Xenopus tropicalis: one gene and its partners. The protein of the gene in region 2 purifies or fractionates together with the protein of the main gene of each other region. This does not show direct contact. Links are inferred from orthologs where the notes say so. Each region holds a gene or a part of one and is shown on either strand. Other genes may lie near its edges.

Region 1 (6,352 bases), on a different chromosome or scaffold from region 2:
CCAGAGATCCTCACTAAAGGAGCCATTTACGGTCAGATTTTTTTTTTCAGATTTGTATTTTTAGCACTAAAAGTTGTAGGAAAAAAAAAGAGTTTATTTGAATTTTGAAAGAAAAAATGTGAAATGTATTCGTTATGTTAGTAAACTGGTTGTGTATTGCTGGAAGTTTTTGACCTACAGAAGTCATAAATCATATCAAAGTGTAAGATTCTATTATATGTAATTGTTATATTTGTTACAAAGTATACATATTTGGCAATGGCGTGTTTGGAAGACATGGTACAAGTTTAAAAACTGGCAATTAAAGTACCACAAGTGACCAGTGAAAGGGTTAAATCTTAGCCTGCCCAGTTGATGTGCGGGCCTAAACAAAACATCCAAAGTAAGTACTTTTTCAATAAGCACATGCTTGAGGAAGCATAACCCCATATCACTACTACACTAGCAATTAGTCTAGAATGTGACAGTGTCTGGCAACCCGGCCTTTTTATCCCAAAACAATTTTCCAAGCCACAAGATTAGGGGGGTAGCGGGTCCAATGACAACAGCTGCTTAGAGAGAACAACTGGCCATGTGAAAGGGAATACAGGGTAAAGCCACAGTTAACAACTCGACACGCAAACATTTTTGTTTTTTTCTGGGGGATAAAGGAAAAGGGACAGGAAGAACTTTTACCATACAGGATTTAGTATTAACTATGCCATTTATAAAATACAGGGACACTTACCCTGTTTCCGAACATCTTCAACTGCTGCAATGAGTTCCTCTTTAAGAAACTGGCTCTCTTTTGCTATTTTGTCTCCTTTATCTAAAAAATTTTGGGTTGCTTGCTCCACTGATGCAGCCAAAACATGAGCTTTCTTTGAACGTCCTTTCTTCTTATTGGAGGGTCCTTTATTGCTACTATTCACCAAAGTGGTCACCTTAATATAGATAAATAGCAATTTGTGAGCAAACATCAAATTTAATATGCCTCCTAGTGCCTGGGAGTAAAAATTCCCTGATAAAATTAACGTAAAGGTGGCCATACACAGTAAGATTTTGTTGTAAAGAAGTATTGATCATATTAATGAATGTTATTCATTGACTGTATTGTTGAAACAACTGTGATAACTTGTTCTTTATATGAATTTGTGCATGCATTTCTTTTGTTGTAAAATTGCAATTTCTGCCTTTAATGCTTCTGCTATTTGTTGATAGCAAAAGCTTAGAATTTGTCATTCTGTTAACCCTCTTGACACTGGCAATCATAGCACTGCTGTAAAACCATGACATTAGCACTGCAGAACTGGTAATATAGAAAGTAACAAGACTAAAGTCAGATTAATTGCACCTTTCATTTAGACCAACTGATTAAATGACTGAACAGCAGGGAGTAAATCACAGCTGCAGCTCTTCACTTCCTTTTGATCGACCATTGAAGTTGTTTCCATCAAGAACAGAAAAACTCAATCTATGAGTACAGCAGGATTATCAGCTTGAACATCCATCTGACTTTCCACATATGCCCAGATGGTCAGGCATGACTGATATCAGCCAAAATAATAATTCTAGACATGCATGGCCAGAGTTCTTCCTTGGTGCCATGAAGGAGGAAGTAGCCTGAAGCCAGACATTCAGTCCACATTAACAGACTGCTTTCCTAGACTAATAACTTCAGGAGAGGTGTCTCCACCGTGCTCTCCAGCTTCTGAGCCCTTCTGGGTAAGTTAACAGGTCCAGCACAGTATAGGATAATGTACCATCTACAGAAATTCCACCAACCCATACTTAACGCCTTTTCAGTTTAAACTGCCTTATGAATTATAATAAGGGGGTATATTATCCTCCATAGTGTACTCAAATACAATACAGAGGATAACATACAACTGTCTAATATAAAAAAAAGATAATTTACTTACCTGAGTTACTAAAGGCTCAAGAAGTCTCTCAACAGCTAGTGTTCTTATTTCCAAGCTTTTTGGATCCCATTTGAAATTTATGTTTCCTGTATTAAGCGTCATGTCTGGGGAGAAAGGAAAAAAAAAAAATTCTGCATCAGTTGATAGGACATGGAAAGACTGAATTCAAGTAGAATGCTTGGCAGAATGGCTAGCACTTATTAATAAAATGGTTCCTCTACCAGAGGCTGTTAGCTGAAATTTCAAACTATATGGGCTCCTTGGTTAGATGCTAATCCAACACTTCTACTGGACAAAAGTGTGGCTCTCCCAACCTGTCAGGCCTGTATTATTAATGGATATGACCGTTATACTGTGATGCCAGTAAAGTGGTCCTCTTTTTTCTCTTAACTTGAACAACATGCTAGAATGTATTTCATCTTGACTGCTTTTGAACGTTCATTTTTGTTTTATAAAACAAACATTTAAACATACATACAACTTAAAATCAAAAAATCCTAAAGACACATCAGGTGCTCTCAACTGTCTGCATAGACCAAATCGGCTATAGCAGTTTGGCAACCTCACCAAACAAGAGGCTCTTTTCATTTCTCTCTCAGAAACAGAATTATAAACAATGTATTATACAATGTATAAGGAACAGTAACACCAACAAATTAAAGAGTTTTAAACTAAATGAAATATAATGTACTGTTGCCCTGCACTGGGAAAAGTTGTATGTTTGCTACAGTAACTCTACTATAGTTTATATAAATAAGCTGCTGTGTAGCCCTGGGGGCAGACATTCAAGCTGGAAAAAAAGGAGAAAAGGCCCCAGTTGTACCAGTGCAGAGCAGCAGTACATTATATTGGAATTTCTTTTATACACTTGAATTTTTTGGTGTTACTGTTCCTTTAAGCTACTGAGGTTACTAGCTGGCAATGTTTTAAACGGGACTAACTTTAATTGCGGAAGAGGGGCACAGTTAGGTATTGGGCGTGGAGGGCGGCAGGAAGAGCTTGGCCCAAACCCGCCTGTGACCCAAATATGTTGTGCGACTGTCGGCCCAAACTTGTGGCTTTCAGGCCAGCCCGCACATCACTATTGCACATCCAGCAACAATAGCCTGGGTGCTGGTAAATAAACCATATAGAAGAATGTAAAAGAACACTCACAGGATTTAATTATGAAACTGAGCCAAAAATATCCTCAAATACATTTTAATAGAGTTTAATAGATTCTGTTGTTTTTATATTGATTCCTTGGTTATTTTGCACACACACAGAATATGGGAAGAACCACATTCAAATATATATGCAAATTTCCTTTAAAAAGGAAACCAGTAAGCACCAAATTATGGGAAGACCATCTTACAAGCAGCACATTTTAGGCATATAATTTTAATTTTTAAATATTTTCTTCCTCTGTAATAAGTACAGTAATAAATACAGTACCTTGCACTTGATCCAAGCTTCCTAACTCCATATTTTCATTTCACATTGTATTATTTCACACAACAAATTCAAAAGGAGCAAATTCAATTTCACACAACTGATTGCTGCTCAAAAACAAGCAGTTGGCAATCTTGCCAAGTTGAAAACCCTGTCACTCGTCCAAACGATCAAATTAGCCTGGATTCTCCCGATATCGCCCACCCGTAGGCGGGGGATATCGGTAGAAGATCCACTCGTTTGGGGACATCACCAAGCAAGTGGATCTGAAGGTGTATGAGCGATTCTATTTGAGCGATTCTATTTCCCACAAATCCAGGTGTCATATTCCCCACCCACAATTAGAAATGACATTCAGGGCAATGGGGAAATCACAGCGACTTTGTGCTCAGTGGGTTTTACTTTCAGCGATTCCAATAGATTTGAATGACAATGCTTTCTTTGTAAAATCACTCGAAAAAGGGTCTCATAGCAATTCGGAGCAATAAGCGATTTGAAGTATCATCAGTTTAGGTACTGGCAATTTATATTCGAGGAAGTAAGCGATTTTCTAACATTTTATATATAATTTGAATTCACATTCTTGATTACATAGAAATGAGAATTTAATGAGATATGTTGATGGTATGTATTTGCAATAATAGCCTTTTCATTGAGCTGTCATTGTATTTTGACTTTTTCTTTATTCATAACCAAACAAATCATCTTCTCTAGTACCTCCTTTTATCTAGGAGGCCAACAACTACTTTTTGTTCACAAAACATGTCCCCACCTACAACAGTACACAGAACTAGACCTCTGACCAATCAGATCTTTCCGTACCTCAGGCAATACAATTCCAACAAACATGCACCTGGTTTTCAAAGGGGCTGAGCTTCAATTTGCCATCAGTTTACTCAAACCACATCTGCCTTATGATGCTTTGGAATGGTGGAATCTCGTAACTTCTCATCTATGCACTGTAACAATGTAGAAAATATACCTAGGGGTTTTACATAGGTGCTAGACTTGGTTATGTGGTCCTTGCAAACCTGAAGCACAACAGGTTTTGTTTTTAAACTCTTACAACCAGTGCCACCCTCTATTTAAATAGATATAATGTGTTTGGAGAAATGAACGCAGTCTTGCCTCTCAAATATCTAAAAAGGGTTGATTTGACAACATTGCGTCAACATACTGTATAGGAATTGTATTGTCTGCAGCTTGTCAGCTTCTAGCCAGCCATTACGCATCTTACAACTGAATACTGCTTTAGAGGACTGGTCAGGATGTACACAACTTTTTGCAAAATTATACTGAAAAATAAGGCCCCACATTAAAGGAGACGTATTGGATAAATTGGAAAAATGCTAATTTTGTAGGCAATTATGAATAATATACGGTGCTGGTTTCCCTTTGTGCTAAACATTAATCCTATCTGTAACAATGGCCCCTTTATTGGAGCTCCCTATAGATCCTATCATTTCTCCGTCCAGTGTGAAATGGAGTGGGCGTGTCCTAGCGGTCCCTGCCAGAAGCACAGTAGGAGGGGGAGAGCCAATCACAGCCCTGCACTCACACAAGCAAAGACCAGCTTCAGTTCCCTATCAGGTCAGCCTAGCTGCTGATTGGTTCCTATCCTACAGTGCCGCCGGCTCCCCAGCTCATCCAGAGAATTCAGCCAGCAGGAAGTGGAATAGATGGGCGGGGCTAGTGGGGTTTTTGTGGAATTTCTCAATAAATCAGTCAGAAACACAGCATTTTTAAGCACATTCCTTCTATATCTAGAGGAGTATAATTCACTGGTACATTCATAATTTTTATAGGATATGTCTCCTTTAAGCATATTTTTATTATTTGAAGTAAGATTTTCCAGTGATCTACTTTTACTTAAATTTTTGCAACAGGGTCTTCTATCATTCACATTAAGGTTGTCACCAAGTCATTGTCCAAGTAACTATACCAAGTCATTCTGTAACTTCTGTTCATAACAATTCTACTATGCAGATACCAGGAAACATCAGAATGGTAATAGTTTCACACAGGCCCGCTTGTTTGCCCCTATGCCAGCAATTGGAACTCCCTAGTTTGGCTGGGGTGCAGGGGTGACCAAATTGGGCAAAGATCCTCTCAGCTGGTGACCTTGCCAAAGAAGTGTATCTTAAAAAGTGTATGGCCAACTTAGTGCTTACTGTTACATGTTGCAGTATAAAGGTGGCCATACACAGGCAGATTTTAGCTGCTGATTTAGGTCCTTCAGATCGATTTAGCAGCTTTTCGGCCCATGCATGGGCACCCCTGACAGGCCTACCAGACCAAGATCTGACCTAAAATTGGGCAGATTTTGATCGGGCAGGTTTGATTTTCCGTCGCATTGGGGACAGCATCGGCTCCTTGATGCAGTCCCCGATCTGGCGGCGCCTATGTACGCAGTTGCTGAATTAGTGCAATATCGCCCACCTTTAGGTGAGCATATTGGGAGAAGATCCGCTCAATTGGCAACTGAGCGAATCTACTAGTGTATGGACACCTTTAGGCTGATGTCCTGTGGAGAGATTTAGTAGCCCGCAATAGATCTCTGCCAGTGTCGGACTGGGACCCCAGGGGCCCATCAGAAAAGCTTAGACCCGCTTTCCAAACTATTTTTCCTCCTTTCTTTACCCAACCTCTTTATTTTCCCAGTCTCTTTTATTTACATGCTAGCATCTATTCTTCCCTCTATTTCTCCTCTTTCTTCCCATTCAGAAATAGGGAATGAGCATGAAACAGGCCAAATGGTTAGGAGCAAGAGGGCCCACTTACACCTGGGCCCACTGGGAGTTTTTCTGGTATCCTGGTGGGCCAGTCCGACACTGATCTCTGCTGCCACAGGTAGCAAATATCTCCAAAATGCCTTTCCACCGGCAACAATATGAATTGCTGGTGGAAAGGCCTATAAATCGTTTCGGTTTTCCGAAGTTGTGCAAAGTTGCCTCCGGAGGCATCTTCGGAAAACCAAAGCAATGCGTTGGCCTTTCCACTAGTGATTCGTACTGTTACCA
Region 2 (6,352 bases):
CTGCCAGTCAGATTTGATTTAAACCCCAATCAGTATATTAGCACCATCTGTTAATTGCTTTTCCTTGCTTGGTTGCAACCTGAAAATTATGCTCTCGAAATCTTGAAGTTCCATTTCAAGTAAAGAAAAGTAAACTTTATGTAGCATGACTGTTTTGAAAATTCACCCTGATCCATCATAAATACAATTTTGCAGTCACTTAATTTATGCTGATTATAGCAGAGCAGATGAGAGCACAGGACACTAACAACTGTCTTTGATTTGATAATTAGTTGAAAATCCATGAAAGCATGAAAATCCAACTAGTTTGATTATATACGTTATGTATGTATTGTATGAAAGCAGCCATCATAGGGGTACTGGGTGTTAAACTGTATTGGGACACATTATTGCTGGCTCTAAAAAGCAAAATAAAATATTTTTTTTTATGAGTGACAAGGGGCCTATGTGTTTCATAAAATGAAATGGGTTTGAATTAGGGATGCACCGAATCCAGAATTTGTTTTGGGATTCGACCAAGATTTGGCGTTTTTCAGCAGGATTCGGCTGAATCCATGTGTCTGCCCGAACCAAATCCAAATCCTTAAAATTACCTGACTTTTTGTCACCTGCTACATTGTTTCAAGAGTCTGAACCAGCAGTGCTAAATGGGGAATACAAAAACTGATTTCAATTGCATGAGCTCCATTGACAGATACATTGTATTAGTGCAGTGATCCCCAACCAGTAGCTCTGGGGCAACATGTTGCTCCCCACCCCCTTGGATGTTGCTCTCAGTGCCCCCAAACCAGGTAGTTATTTTTTAATTTCTGACTTTGTAGCAAGTTTTGGTTGAATAAAAACAATATTTATTACCAAATAAAGCCCCCTGTAAGCTGATAGTGTGCATAGAGGCTACCTAATAGCTAATCTTAGCCCTTATTTGGCACCTCCATGAACTTTTATGATGCTTGTGTTGCTCTCCAAGTCTTTTTACATTTGACTGTGGCTCACAAGTAAGAAAGGTTGGGGACCCCTGTATTAGTGTATACTCTGCTTTTTTCTTTTTTTCCTTTAAAAGGAACATTATACTAAGCAGTTATAGTAATATTATGTTAACGGTCATTTGAAGAGGTTGAAATTCTTGTATATATATCTTTATTTATATACAACTTATACGTACAGTATATATACAGTATATATATATATATACAATGTGTTAATAAAGAAAGTGTAACAACACACACACTTGTCCAAGAAATCATCCAAGCCTTAAAGTCTTAAAGGCATTAATAGAATCTGCCATCACAACTTAATCCACCAGGGTATTCCACAACCTCACCGGCCTTCCTGTGAAGATCCATACTTGTCATTTTGGAAACTAATAGTATTTGTTTATGGCTTCTCTCCTTGAGTACAACAGGGATATTCATACTGTATATTATAGAGACACTTAGTAAATGTATTTGTTTAATAAATGAATGTACTGTACCATCTTTTTGTCACTAGAGGTATTCATTAGAAGAGGCCATATGGCAACTTAAGTTCTTGAATCCATTCATGCAGAAAAATAAGGACTCATGCCCATATGTTTCTTAGAAGAGAAAAAAGTAAACAGGGTGTATTAGGACTTAAAAATCAAATCAGACAAACTCTTTGTTTCATGTCTCAGTAGTTTATTACTACATTTTAAAATGAATATAAAAAAAATTCAATGGTTGTGTTTTTTTTTTCATTTTAATACAAATTTGTATACAGACCCAAGTGCCCTGTACAAATGCAAATAGGCATCATACATCATACAAAAACCCACAACAAAAGCCAAATGGGGACAGTACAAATTACAGACAACACAAAAATACTACTAATGCTAAATTCATGTTTGTAAAAAAAAAAAAAGAAAACATGAGTTACTGTTAGTGAGAAATATTACAAATGATGATGTTATTTGTGCCAATGAATCTGAAAATGAGAAAATATTTTATTCACACCATGTAAAACCTAGCACTTCTAATTCAATGTTACCCAGAAAGGATGCAATTACATTAAGCTGGTGTGTCTTATTCTTACAGCACCAATTAAATGTCAGGGCCAACTGATTAGAAGAATCTAATTTCAAGTAATTATTTACAAATGTATCCCTGAGGAAGGACAGATTAATATATAGTGTTAATAGTAGTCCTAAAATGAAAAATTGCTTAAAGCAAGTGAGAAAATTTGTGACAGCCATTTACATGCAAAAAGATTATTACAATTATTTTTATTCAGTGTTTTTTAAAGGTGGATAGAGATTAATGACGCTTAACACCTTCACTGGCAGACATTTCTCTTCAGCGGGTTATGAATAGCACTACCAGCCGACTGATTTATCTGAAAGCCATGTAAAAACATTAACTATAAATTCTGCTTAATTTGATTCATGGAGGTGATTAGTTATTTATTCCCTTCTTATTCGGGTAATTTAGTTTTGGTCTCAAACTTTCTCAGGGCATGCTCATGTCTTTTTAATCAAATACAAAATAAAAACAAAACGGGGGACAGGCTGATGTGCAATAATGTGACAACAGACCCATAAGTTGCAGGGGGGAAGAAAAAAGAGGGACTTGACTGAGGCACAGTTTAAAAGGGAATATGGAAGATTTTCCAGTAATTTCCAGTTACATGGCTCATCCTGCCATGAAGCAGGTGGCAGTGAGTGGTCAGTTACCAGGGGTGGCAAAAAGCAACCTCTAGTAACTTTAAGAGCCAAATTTCCATTTTTTTAAAATGGAAAATGGGCTCTTACAAGTGCAGCTATTTGGTAACCCCTTGACCTGCTCCAGTGCCAAAGAGTTAAGGGGGTGTGACATCCAATGCAGCAACAGCCCCAGAACCACCCCTGTCCAGTCACTCCTCTACTGCCAAGTAAATTGGAATGTTGATTTAGGCACTAGATTGAAAATGATCTAAGATTTTACTGTTTCCTAGTACTGCACTAATAAGGAAAGTCTTCAATTGGTTCCAGACCGTAAAGATCAGCTAGCATCTTAAATCTAGGGCCCCAGTTATTTAATACATCATAGTCTATATCTGATTCTGAAGACCCAGATTCTATAGAGCTGAGTGACTCCACAATAGATTCTGACTCTTCGTACCCAAATATGTGAAGGGTGTCATATGGTAATCCTTCCCCATCATTGTCTGCTTCATCCTTCTTCACTTCAATCATGAAAGACATGTCTCCATTTCTTGTTGGTTTTTGGACATGGGCGTACAGATAGGGACTTGCCTCCATTTCTTGCCTTGGCCTTTGAACATTTCTGCGCACAGAATTCAATACAGATACGTCATAACTGTTTGTGTCCATTTCTCCACCGCCTTCCTCATCATAGGTGACCAGTTGCTCATGAATCTCTGCTGTGTTTTTCCCTAAGATGTTGGTATTTTTCTTCTGCATCCTCCTTAGAACTGCCAATATTGTGACAACTATTGGTAATAAAGATTAAAAAAGAAAGCAATTGGTTAACTAGATTTATTTAGTAATCAAAATGTTATTTATTTGCACTATACTGTTGTGTAGTGCTTTAAAACAATACCTTATTGCATAACGTTAAATTATAATTAAGCTGGCCTTATATGGCCAAGTATGTCTTTGCCTGCTTGTACAGGCTGGGGCCTGATTGTGTGTAGAATGGCCATACATAAGGGCAAAGTTGCTCAGATTGCTTTAAATTCTGTTAGGTTAGCTCTAATACCAAATGATCAGGTAAATAAGCTTGTTGGCACTTATAGTGATTATGTTGGGCTAGGAGCTCATGGGGTCGAAAATGACTGGACTGGTAACTAGCTGGCCTGCTGTTCCCATCTGGGAATCTTATTACTGTTGACTCACCTTAGCTACCGTATATACTCGAGTATAAGCCGATCCGAATATAAGCCGAGGTACCTAATTTTACCTAAGAAAACTGGAAAAACTTATTGACTCGAGTATAAGCCTAGGCATCCATTTCTTTTAACACACCTGCACAAAACGCTATCATCATCATGGAAGATAGAGAAAACATTGCAGATGAAAAAATAATATATTAATAAAATAGATAAATAAATTGGGCATTTTCTCCACCTGTGTATTTCGGCCAGCTGAGAAGCATCCAGAACCACCCTTGAGTTTGGCAAAACAACATACAGTATATACAGTCTCTCAAACACTCAAAATGACCGGCCATAAGAAAACTGGCTTGTGGTAAGCCACCTCAGTTTGTGCAACATTATTGTATTTAATTAGCCCTGGTAATGCAAAGACTTTAGATCAGTGTCTGTTTTTAGCACTTGAAGAAGGGGGAAAAAATTGGAAAGCAGTGCACACGTTATCCTATACTCAGTGACAGTTACTAGTGAGAAAAGAATTTTAGATGTAGTTGTTTAATGTAATAAGGGTAAACAGACAGAAGTGCTTTTGGAGTTGCCCAATTCTATGGTTGGATTTGGACAGGCAATTCCATAGAACATCACTGCTCCTCCTGATTAATTGGCTGTTGGCATAGCAACTGTAAGTAATAAATAACCTTGTGTTATTATGCACTCACTTGCTTTACCCTTGCTTTAAGCTGCCAAACCCGGCCCTTCAGTCAAATTGTCTGTCACCCCATAGAGAAGAAGAGTAGTAAACGCTCTGCTGTGGAGTAGAGGTTGTGGAGAAAAGGAGGCAGTGGGATGACCCTTACAAATGCGTGTCTGGGTTCTGTCCACCTCTCACTGCAACAGTGTGCTGTTGAAGAATTCCCCCAAGTCTTGCTGTTAAGTACTCAGTTAACTTACTCTATTTCAGTGATCCAGCACCTTTCCAGCCATTGGGCGCGGACGCATCCAGCACCGGGCATCCGCCGCGCACACACGCCACGTGCGAGTGATGGATGCCCGGTGCTGGATGCGTGCATGCATTCGCTATGCGCTATTGACTGTCTGGCGATGCCGGATGATGCCGCAGTAACCGAACGTCCCGGGTGGGGTTGGGGGTTGGCTGCGAGTAAAATGTTTTGTATGTGATTCATTGATTAACAAAGTTGGTGGTCCTCTGGTATAGATGATGCTGGATGGCCATGCTTCCTCCACAGTAACCGAACGTCCCCGGTGGGGGTTGGCTGTGAGCGAGCACAAACATACGTCCACGGGAAGGGGGGGGGTGCGAGTGCAAACATATGTCCAGGGGCGGGCGGTGTGAGCGAGTGCACGGCCGAGAGAACGTAACTACCGTATATACTCGAGTATTAGCCGAGGGTGCCTTTTTGAGCACATTATTAGTGCTCAAAAACTCGGCTTATACTCGAGTATATACGGTAAGTGGCATTTTCAGTGCTTCTTGTAGTACATAGCCTAGTCATTCACTTTGTATATAAGGCACAAGCCAGAGGTGCATGTTGATCATGTCATGTCTCCCCTACCGTGATGTCTATTTATGAATCATGCTCTACCACTGCACAAACCAAAAGAACTGTAAAATATTTTACACTAAAGTATGGACCGTCTATAAATGTGCCTGAATGCATCCATGTTCTTAGCCATTTTTATGTATTTCCACATCCACTAGCTGTGTTTGAGGTTGCTTAATTTTGAAATCCTGACTTGGTGTGTTAAACCAAAGAAGGAATATTTTAAAAACGCAGTCTTTAATTGCCACTTACCCCCAGTTGACTGTTTCTTTCCCTCAGATTCAGTTACAATGTATTCTTAACCACTGTTCCTCATAAAGCACCAGCTATCCTCCATCAAATATGGTCACCCATGAACCCTTTCTCAAAGTTAATAATGTCTCTTCCTCTAACCAGGGTACACAATGAATTTGGCAATTTGCCTTAACTATCAATTTTGCCCAGTGTTGATAAATAAGCCCCATTGACCCCAGCAGCCAAATAATCTATTGCTCTGCGAGGCTACAGTTTTATCATTATTGTTACTTTTTAATTAATTATTTTTCTATTCAGGTTCTCTCCTATTCACATACCAGTCTCTCATTCAAACCATTGCCTGGTTGCTAAGATAATTTGAACCCTAGCAACCAGGTAACTGCTGAAATAATTAAAAAACCACAAATAATAAAATGAAAAACAATGGCAAACTGTCTTAGAATATTACTCTTTACATCATACTAAATGTTAGCTAAAAGGTGAACAACCCCTTTAAAGGATGCTGATTTGCAAGCCACACCTGGGTCGAAGTATTTGCTTTGTATTTCTACAAGTGGTTTCTTTACATTGATAGATACCAGTAATTTAGTGTTTAGAATGAAGACATAGGGTTTGCTACAAATCTTACCCAAAATAATTAGAAATAAAGACACAAATATGATGACAATTGTTGGAACAGAAACAGCAGCCAGCTTTCCAGCCTCCTCACA
Region 3 (6,352 bases), on a different chromosome or scaffold from region 2:
AGGGTACATAGCTCGATAATTTTCCATTTCTGCAAAGGTAAAGAACACCATTAGATTCAAATATATATGTACTTTCAGTGATCCATTAATGCTACCTTGGCCCAGAGCTTTAAAAGAGATAAACCCCATTGATGAATATGTCTAAAAAAGCCATATTTTATAGAATTAACTGACTGCACTAGCCTAATGTTTCAGCATCTCTATAGTAGCAATGATATAGGTCACAGGAACTCCCCATCTTGGATTCTGTTAGAACTCTCCAGTATAGTGCATATGCTCAGTGAGTTCTAGCAGAAAATAAGGCTGGTCTGTCATATAAACTGATGGTACAGGGCTGACTATAAAATTATATTGCTAATTGCACGGGTTTCTGGTCTTCAATGAATTCATTATCAGTATTAATTACTAATCAGCCTCGTATAGTGACATTTATATTCTGTATATACAGTATATTGTGGGTGAGTCCCTAAGCTCAGGTAAGTGACAGCAGCACAGAATATGTGCTGGGAATCAGCAGAAAAGAATATGGGGGGGCTACTGGGGCATCTTTGGGGGCACAGATCTTCCCTGCTAAAGGGAATATACAACATTTCTGCCCTACTGCTTTAGTTAGGCTTTAGTTCTCCTTTAACAGAGATAGTGTTATTCTTCTTAAAGCTTTGTTTCCTCACTCAGGGGCTCAAACACATCTGACCCAGTATATCTGGGGTGCCCAAAAGCCCTACACATTTTGTGTAGGACTGCTTACCAATTGGACAGGAGGTTCAAAGTTAACGCTCCTGGATCCCGTCCAATCAGAAAGCAGTTCATGCACATACAGACATTTTTTTGCCAATCACGTTGTGGAAAGTTGTGATAAGATGATCTGGGGGCCCCCAATGCATTACCGCCCCTAGTCCCCTATTTAGTATTAATCCAGCTCTGCCCACAATGAATTTAATGTAAAATGCCATTGTAAGTAACTGCATGTGCATTTTACAACATAAATGGTATTTTGCCGTTCTACAACAATGTTCAGTTCACTTACCATCTGGATAAGGATCATTAAGAGGAATCATGCTCTGCGCCTGAAAATGAAAACACAATTTTGCATGTAATGTGAGTAATAAATTGGTAAGAAGTCACAATTCTGCTGATGAAAAGCCAAAGAAAGAGATGATCCCACAGCAAGTGGGTGGCAAATTATCATTGGGAATAATGATCAGATGTATAGAATCTTTCATTCTCTGCGTTATTGAACCCTGCCAAACTCTAAGGGTTAAATGCAGTGTGCATAAAGGGGATGTAAATGCGCACTTCAGCAGTTTACATACATTTTCCAGGCTTTCAGCAGCTCTCTCTGAACTTTCTATGCACCGGTCGGTTAACTCTAGGGCTGCCAATTCTCAATTAACGTTAAGCTTTCAGTATGTTACAAAATGGATAATTCTAAGCAACTTTTCAATTGGTTATTTATTAATTGATTATTTAATCGTTTTTTAATTATTTGCCTTCTAACTCCTTGCAGCTTTCAAATGGGGGTCACTGACCCCGGCAGCCAGAAAACTATTGCGCTGTGAGGCTCCAGTTTTGTTGTTATAAAAAGTAACTTATTTTACTATTCAGGTCCTCACCTACTCATATACCAGCCTCTCATTCAAATCAATCCCTGGTTGCTAAGGTAATTTTGACCCTAGCTGCTGAAACTCAAAACTAGCGAGTTGCTGAAAAAAACCTACAAATAAAAAATGAAGACCAAATGCAAAGTGTCTGAGAATATTGCACTCGGTCATACTAAAAAAGTTAACACAAAGGTGAATAACCCCCTTAAGCCTCATACAGCTACAAGCTATAGGTCTAAAACCGCAAATATCATAGAAACCACTAAAGCCAGAAAATGAAGTAATGAAGTAACATCAATTCATTTTTTAGGTTTAGATTCCCTTTAAGGCACAAATAGGTCAAAATATTTGCCCAGCTGCACTTTATAGCCTTTTCCCCAGCAAATGCAGAAATAGTGATGCCAAATCCCAGGTACTTACTGCTTCCCAGGCGGCAGGATCCTGTCGGAAGATGGCATTAGTGAGCTCCACGGACACGCGCTTCCTATAATCTGCGTTTTTGTCCTCGGATATGCGGAATAGAACAGCAGCAGCATATGTGGCTAAAATAGAAATTGCATAGTGAATAAAGCAGAATTTCTTCCCCACCTCAACGCCATATGCGATAATGGTATGTGCTTCCAATCCAGGCCAGCTGTTGGCTGTTGAATGCCTCAGACCAGAACTGGGTGCAATAATGTTCCAAGTTCACACAGCTGGTACATAACTGGACACGGTTTTGATCCGTAACAGACTCATCAGAGCTTAGCTTAAGAGTTTATTAACAGTTATTACAGTAGCCTCCATATGTTCATATGTGTGTGTTTCCCCCTCACCTATGCCTTCATTGCGGGAGTGCAGCAATTCCATGAGTGGGGCTGAGGCTCCCTCTGCATCAATGGTGTCTGCCGCTTCTTTATCCTGAGCCAACTCACACAGCACGCCCGCGGCCACTCTCTGAATATTCTCCACAGGGGAATACAGGAGCTGCAATAGAATGGAAACACACTTTATACATACACAGACTTACTGACTTACAACTAAAATCACATTAGTACGTCGTAATTCCATATGAAATTGACATAATCGTATCCCTAGAATGAATACTTAACAAACAGATAGTTTATATCACATTAAGTGGCCTATTAAAGATCTTAGCAAACTGGATTATTATATATCAGTAAGTATTGCCCTTTTACATCTTTCACATTGAACCACCATTTTGTGCTGGGCTGTGTGCTCCCTCAGAGATCAGCTGACAGGAAATAACTAACAGGAAGTAGTGGATCTAGAAGTTAGGAATTATACATGTGTATTTGCCTGGCACACCATAAATGGGGATTGCTGTAAGGGGGTTACCTGTAAATGGGGAACACGGCACTTCTAAAAATGATAAAATAAACAATTTTGTATCATATTAAGCGTAAGAGTGTGTTTCAACCCTTTGTCAGGGGCACATCCATTGGTATTTTTATGCAGGTGCCTCAAATGCATAAAATAAAATTGAAATTGTGGTTTATTTTTGCATATTTTGGAGTGTCCTGTTCCCCTTCTCTTGTGGTCAAAAATATCTGGCGTGCACCAGAACTACTGTACAGGAATCTGACCCCTTATCCGGAAACCCATTATCCAGAAAGTTCCGAATTACGGAAAGGCCGTCTCCCATAGACTCCATTTTAATCAAATAATTCACATTTTTAAAAATGATTGTAAGCTCTTTTGGGCAGGGCTCTCTTCACCTCTTGTATTGGTTATTGATTGCTTTATATGTTACTCTGTATGTCCAATGTATGGAACCCACTTATTGTACAGCGCTGCGGGGTATGTTCCAGGATTCTGGATAATGGGTCGCATACCTGTATTACTCTAACTGACCTCCAAGCTGTACTTCCATGAGTATTTTTTTGTTTAGAGCAAATAAATATTTTCCTCAAATCTGTCCCCAACTGGCCTTCAGGTTTTGCCCCCCAAATCAAGGCTTTAAGCCCCACCTCAGGCGCCTGTCAAAGTTTTGGAACTAATTTTCAGGAAGGGAATGGTTTACAAACAGAGCCAGGAAACAATACCCACAATTCAAAGTAAGGCATATATTAAAATGACGATGTCCAAGATTGATTTCAAACACAAGAGCTAAAATACATTATGCTACTGATATCAAGTGAGTTAATGGAGCCAATTAGCTGCCCTGATGACTAATTAATGAGAGACAGCATCCCCCTAAAGGCTCCCATTACATGAGCACACTGGGAATGCTGGGAATGCCGAGCATATAAATGACCTCTAGTTGCACTGGAAGCAGAGGAGCCCATTAGGCTTGCACCTTGGCTAACAGAAAGGGTCGTGGCCCTGGGGGTTAAGGTATGTGGAACTCACATCAAGCTAAAGCCATTACTGTGGGACTGAGATCCAAATCTGACGAGTCAGCAGAACTCTGAAAGCAGGTAGGAACGCTACAGCGCCAACGGCTTGGTTCTGCGCCATTAGGAATACACATCCTCCTTTATATTAACTCTTTCCAGGATATATAAGCCTCTGCTTATACAGATCATTTTTGTTATACATCACATATCTACTGGTTATTTCCAGAGATCACAAGTCCCCTATGATATAATGCAAAATCCCACAGAAATTGGGCCAAAGCCTGTGATCCTCAGTATAAGTATAGTATTCACACACACACATTATATTACAATATATATTTTAGATAGATGATAGGTAGATGATATTATATAATATAGACAGACAGACAGACAATAGATAGATAGATAGATAGATAGATAGATAGATAGATAGATAGATAGAAACTACCTGTTGGTGAAGTATTAGTTTTGGGGGGTATAGTTTTCCTTTAAGTACCTAAACCTTCATGATGAAGGGTAATTTGTAATCTTCATATTTAGGCAAAAATTGCTTTATGGAGCTCAAGAAATAAGAAATTTAACATTCTTGTTTCACACTGGAATCATTAAATTTGAATGGCCGGCTACATTTTCCAATAGAACAAACAATTGCGGGTCAGGAAAAAGCTCATGTTCTGCAGAGCAGGAAGTGAAGGGGAAAAGCCTATAAAGGAAACTGGCTTCCCTTACAGCATTGTATCCCTTGTTTGTGTGTTTAGGAGAAAGAATTCAGTTATAAAGTTCTGTTCATGGTGAAGAACTTTCATTTGTCACATGACACTGTGTGTATTTTAGCTAGGTCTAATCTATTTTATGATTTATTAATTAACAAACAAACAAACAAAGAGCAGGTAATGTCATTCCTTCTACAGCCAGCATGACTTTAACCCTTTATTTGCCGAGCACAAGCAGGATCACAGCAAGAGCTCTGACTAAAATAAAGGTGATCATTTACCATACAAAAGCTTAAGGCAGTGGTTTCCAGATTCTGGGGCAGTCCCCCTTCCCAAACTGGAATGAACTTTGAAGGTCAGTTCTTCTATACTACCCTCCCTTATATTATTATTAATACACTGCTATAAACTACGGGAGGGAGACCAAATGTTTAAACAGGGAGAAATAAATAAATATATAAATCTTTCTTCCTCCCAGGTGTCCCCTACGTGACTTATAGTTGGGAGCATGGGAAATGTGTAGTTCTGGAGAAAGTTCTGTACTGCTAATGTATGCCCAAGCCCAAAGGGGGTCTCACCTGAAAGACCAGAAGAACACGGTGGTGCTCATTTAACAGTACCCAAGGTTGGTGCTTTTTTTTTAAAGAAGAGCAGCGCCAGCCTAGGGTAACAGATACACAACTAGAATAAAAGAGGGAGTGTCTAGACAACTACCACTGATACCTTTACCTTTCCTTCTCCTTTAGAGAAGAACCATAAGGCTGGAGTTTTAGAGAAAGTTCTGTACTGCTAATGTATGCCACACAGGGCTGATTCTAAGGCAGCAGATAAATGCAGGGTGAGGATAAACTCCTACGCTGGCATCAGCCTTTCCCTGTGCCGGCACCTGGAGCAATTGCATTGGCCCGTGTGAGAGCATACTCACGTGCTTCTGTGCCAAAATCCACTCTGCGTGCCTGAACCCAGGCCAACACAATGGCTCCAGGTGCAGAGAAAGGCTAATGCCAGTGTAGGGACTGATTCTTGGCTTGCGTTTAGCCTAAGAGTCTGTAGACATCTGCTTAAGGACCATAGCACACAAGTGGCGAGTTGTCGTTGCAAAATGTGACAGTACTTACACCAAATAGCTTCTCCCTCACCAGGTGCAGTGTCCATGCTCTGTGTGGTTTTTTTTTAGCAATGAGCCATTGTCTATATGCACCAGAACTCACCTGTACAAACAGCGGGATGGTGTTTAGCTTGTAGATGTCCATACGGTTCACAGGATCCCTGGCAAGAATATGCAGAGCCCCAGTGCAACCTTCCACAATCTCTTCCATCTTCACTCCATCCTACAGAATAGGAAAATCAGTATTCTAGACAATTCAAAAACAAACTCTATTCTGAGAACATTTATGTCATAGACACCATATGTCAGAGAGAATGCCATCTAGTAAATGTCAGATCCACAGGGAAATTGATAACCTGTTGGCCGGTAGCAGTTCAGTCCTAGAGATGAATTAATAAATGGCACATCTTAAGGGTTGTGGATACTTTAAGACCCAGCTAAGAAATACTAAGCAATTACTTGGGCCACAATCGTTTTATGTAAAGAAATAATCTTTCTTGCCCTTTTTTTTTGTCTTCTGTAGGTAAGTAGAAAATGATGTTGGCTTCATATTTTACTGTAGTTATACACATTAAAATCAGGTTTTATGTT

Evidence for each region. Proteins that work in one complex are often made in the same cells at the same time.
Region 1: the proteins of cdh5 (region 2) and ctnna1 purify together in Homo sapiens (affinity purification with western blotting; 4 studies listed by BioGRID and IntAct, counting the BioPlex papers as one, with this or other methods). This does not show direct contact. The link is inferred for Xenopus tropicalis from reciprocal best matches to the Homo sapiens genes CDH5 and CTNNA1.
Region 3: the proteins of cdh5 (region 2) and jup purify together in Homo sapiens (affinity purification with western blotting; 3 studies listed by BioGRID and IntAct, with this or other methods). This does not show direct contact. The link is inferred for Xenopus tropicalis from reciprocal best matches to the Homo sapiens genes CDH5 and JUP.

The regions. Positions count from the first base shown.
Region 1 is NC_030679.2:19,993,558-19,999,909, reverse strand, and holds part of ctnna1 (catenin alpha-1), read right to left. Parts: intron 2,006-6,352; 5' UTR 2,004-2,005; coding exon 1,902-2,003; intron 924-1,901; coding exon 728-923; intron 1-727. UniProt on the Homo sapiens protein: Associates with the cytoplasmic domain of a variety of cadherins. The association of catenins to cadherins produces a complex which is linked to the actin filament network, and which seems to be of primary importance for cadherins cell-adhesion properties.
Region 2 is NC_030680.2:57,853,355-57,859,706, reverse strand, and holds the end of cdh5 (cadherin-5), read right to left. Parts: coding exon 6,271-6,352; intron 3,445-6,270; coding exon 2,954-3,444; 3' UTR 1,635-2,953; downstream 1-1,634. UniProt on the Homo sapiens protein: Cadherins are calcium-dependent cell adhesion proteins. They preferentially interact with themselves in a homophilic manner in connecting cells; cadherins may thus contribute to the sorting of heterogeneous cell types.
Region 3 is NC_030686.2:7,415,205-7,421,556, reverse strand, and holds part of jup (junction plakoglobin), read right to left. Parts: intron 5,985-6,352; coding exon 5,865-5,984; intron 2,568-5,864; coding exon 2,417-2,567; intron 2,144-2,416; coding exon 2,022-2,143; intron 1,068-2,021; coding exon 1,028-1,067; intron 30-1,027; coding exon 1-29. UniProt on the Homo sapiens protein: Common junctional plaque protein. The membrane-associated plaques are architectural elements in an important strategic position to influence the arrangement and function of both the cytoskeleton and the cells within the tissue.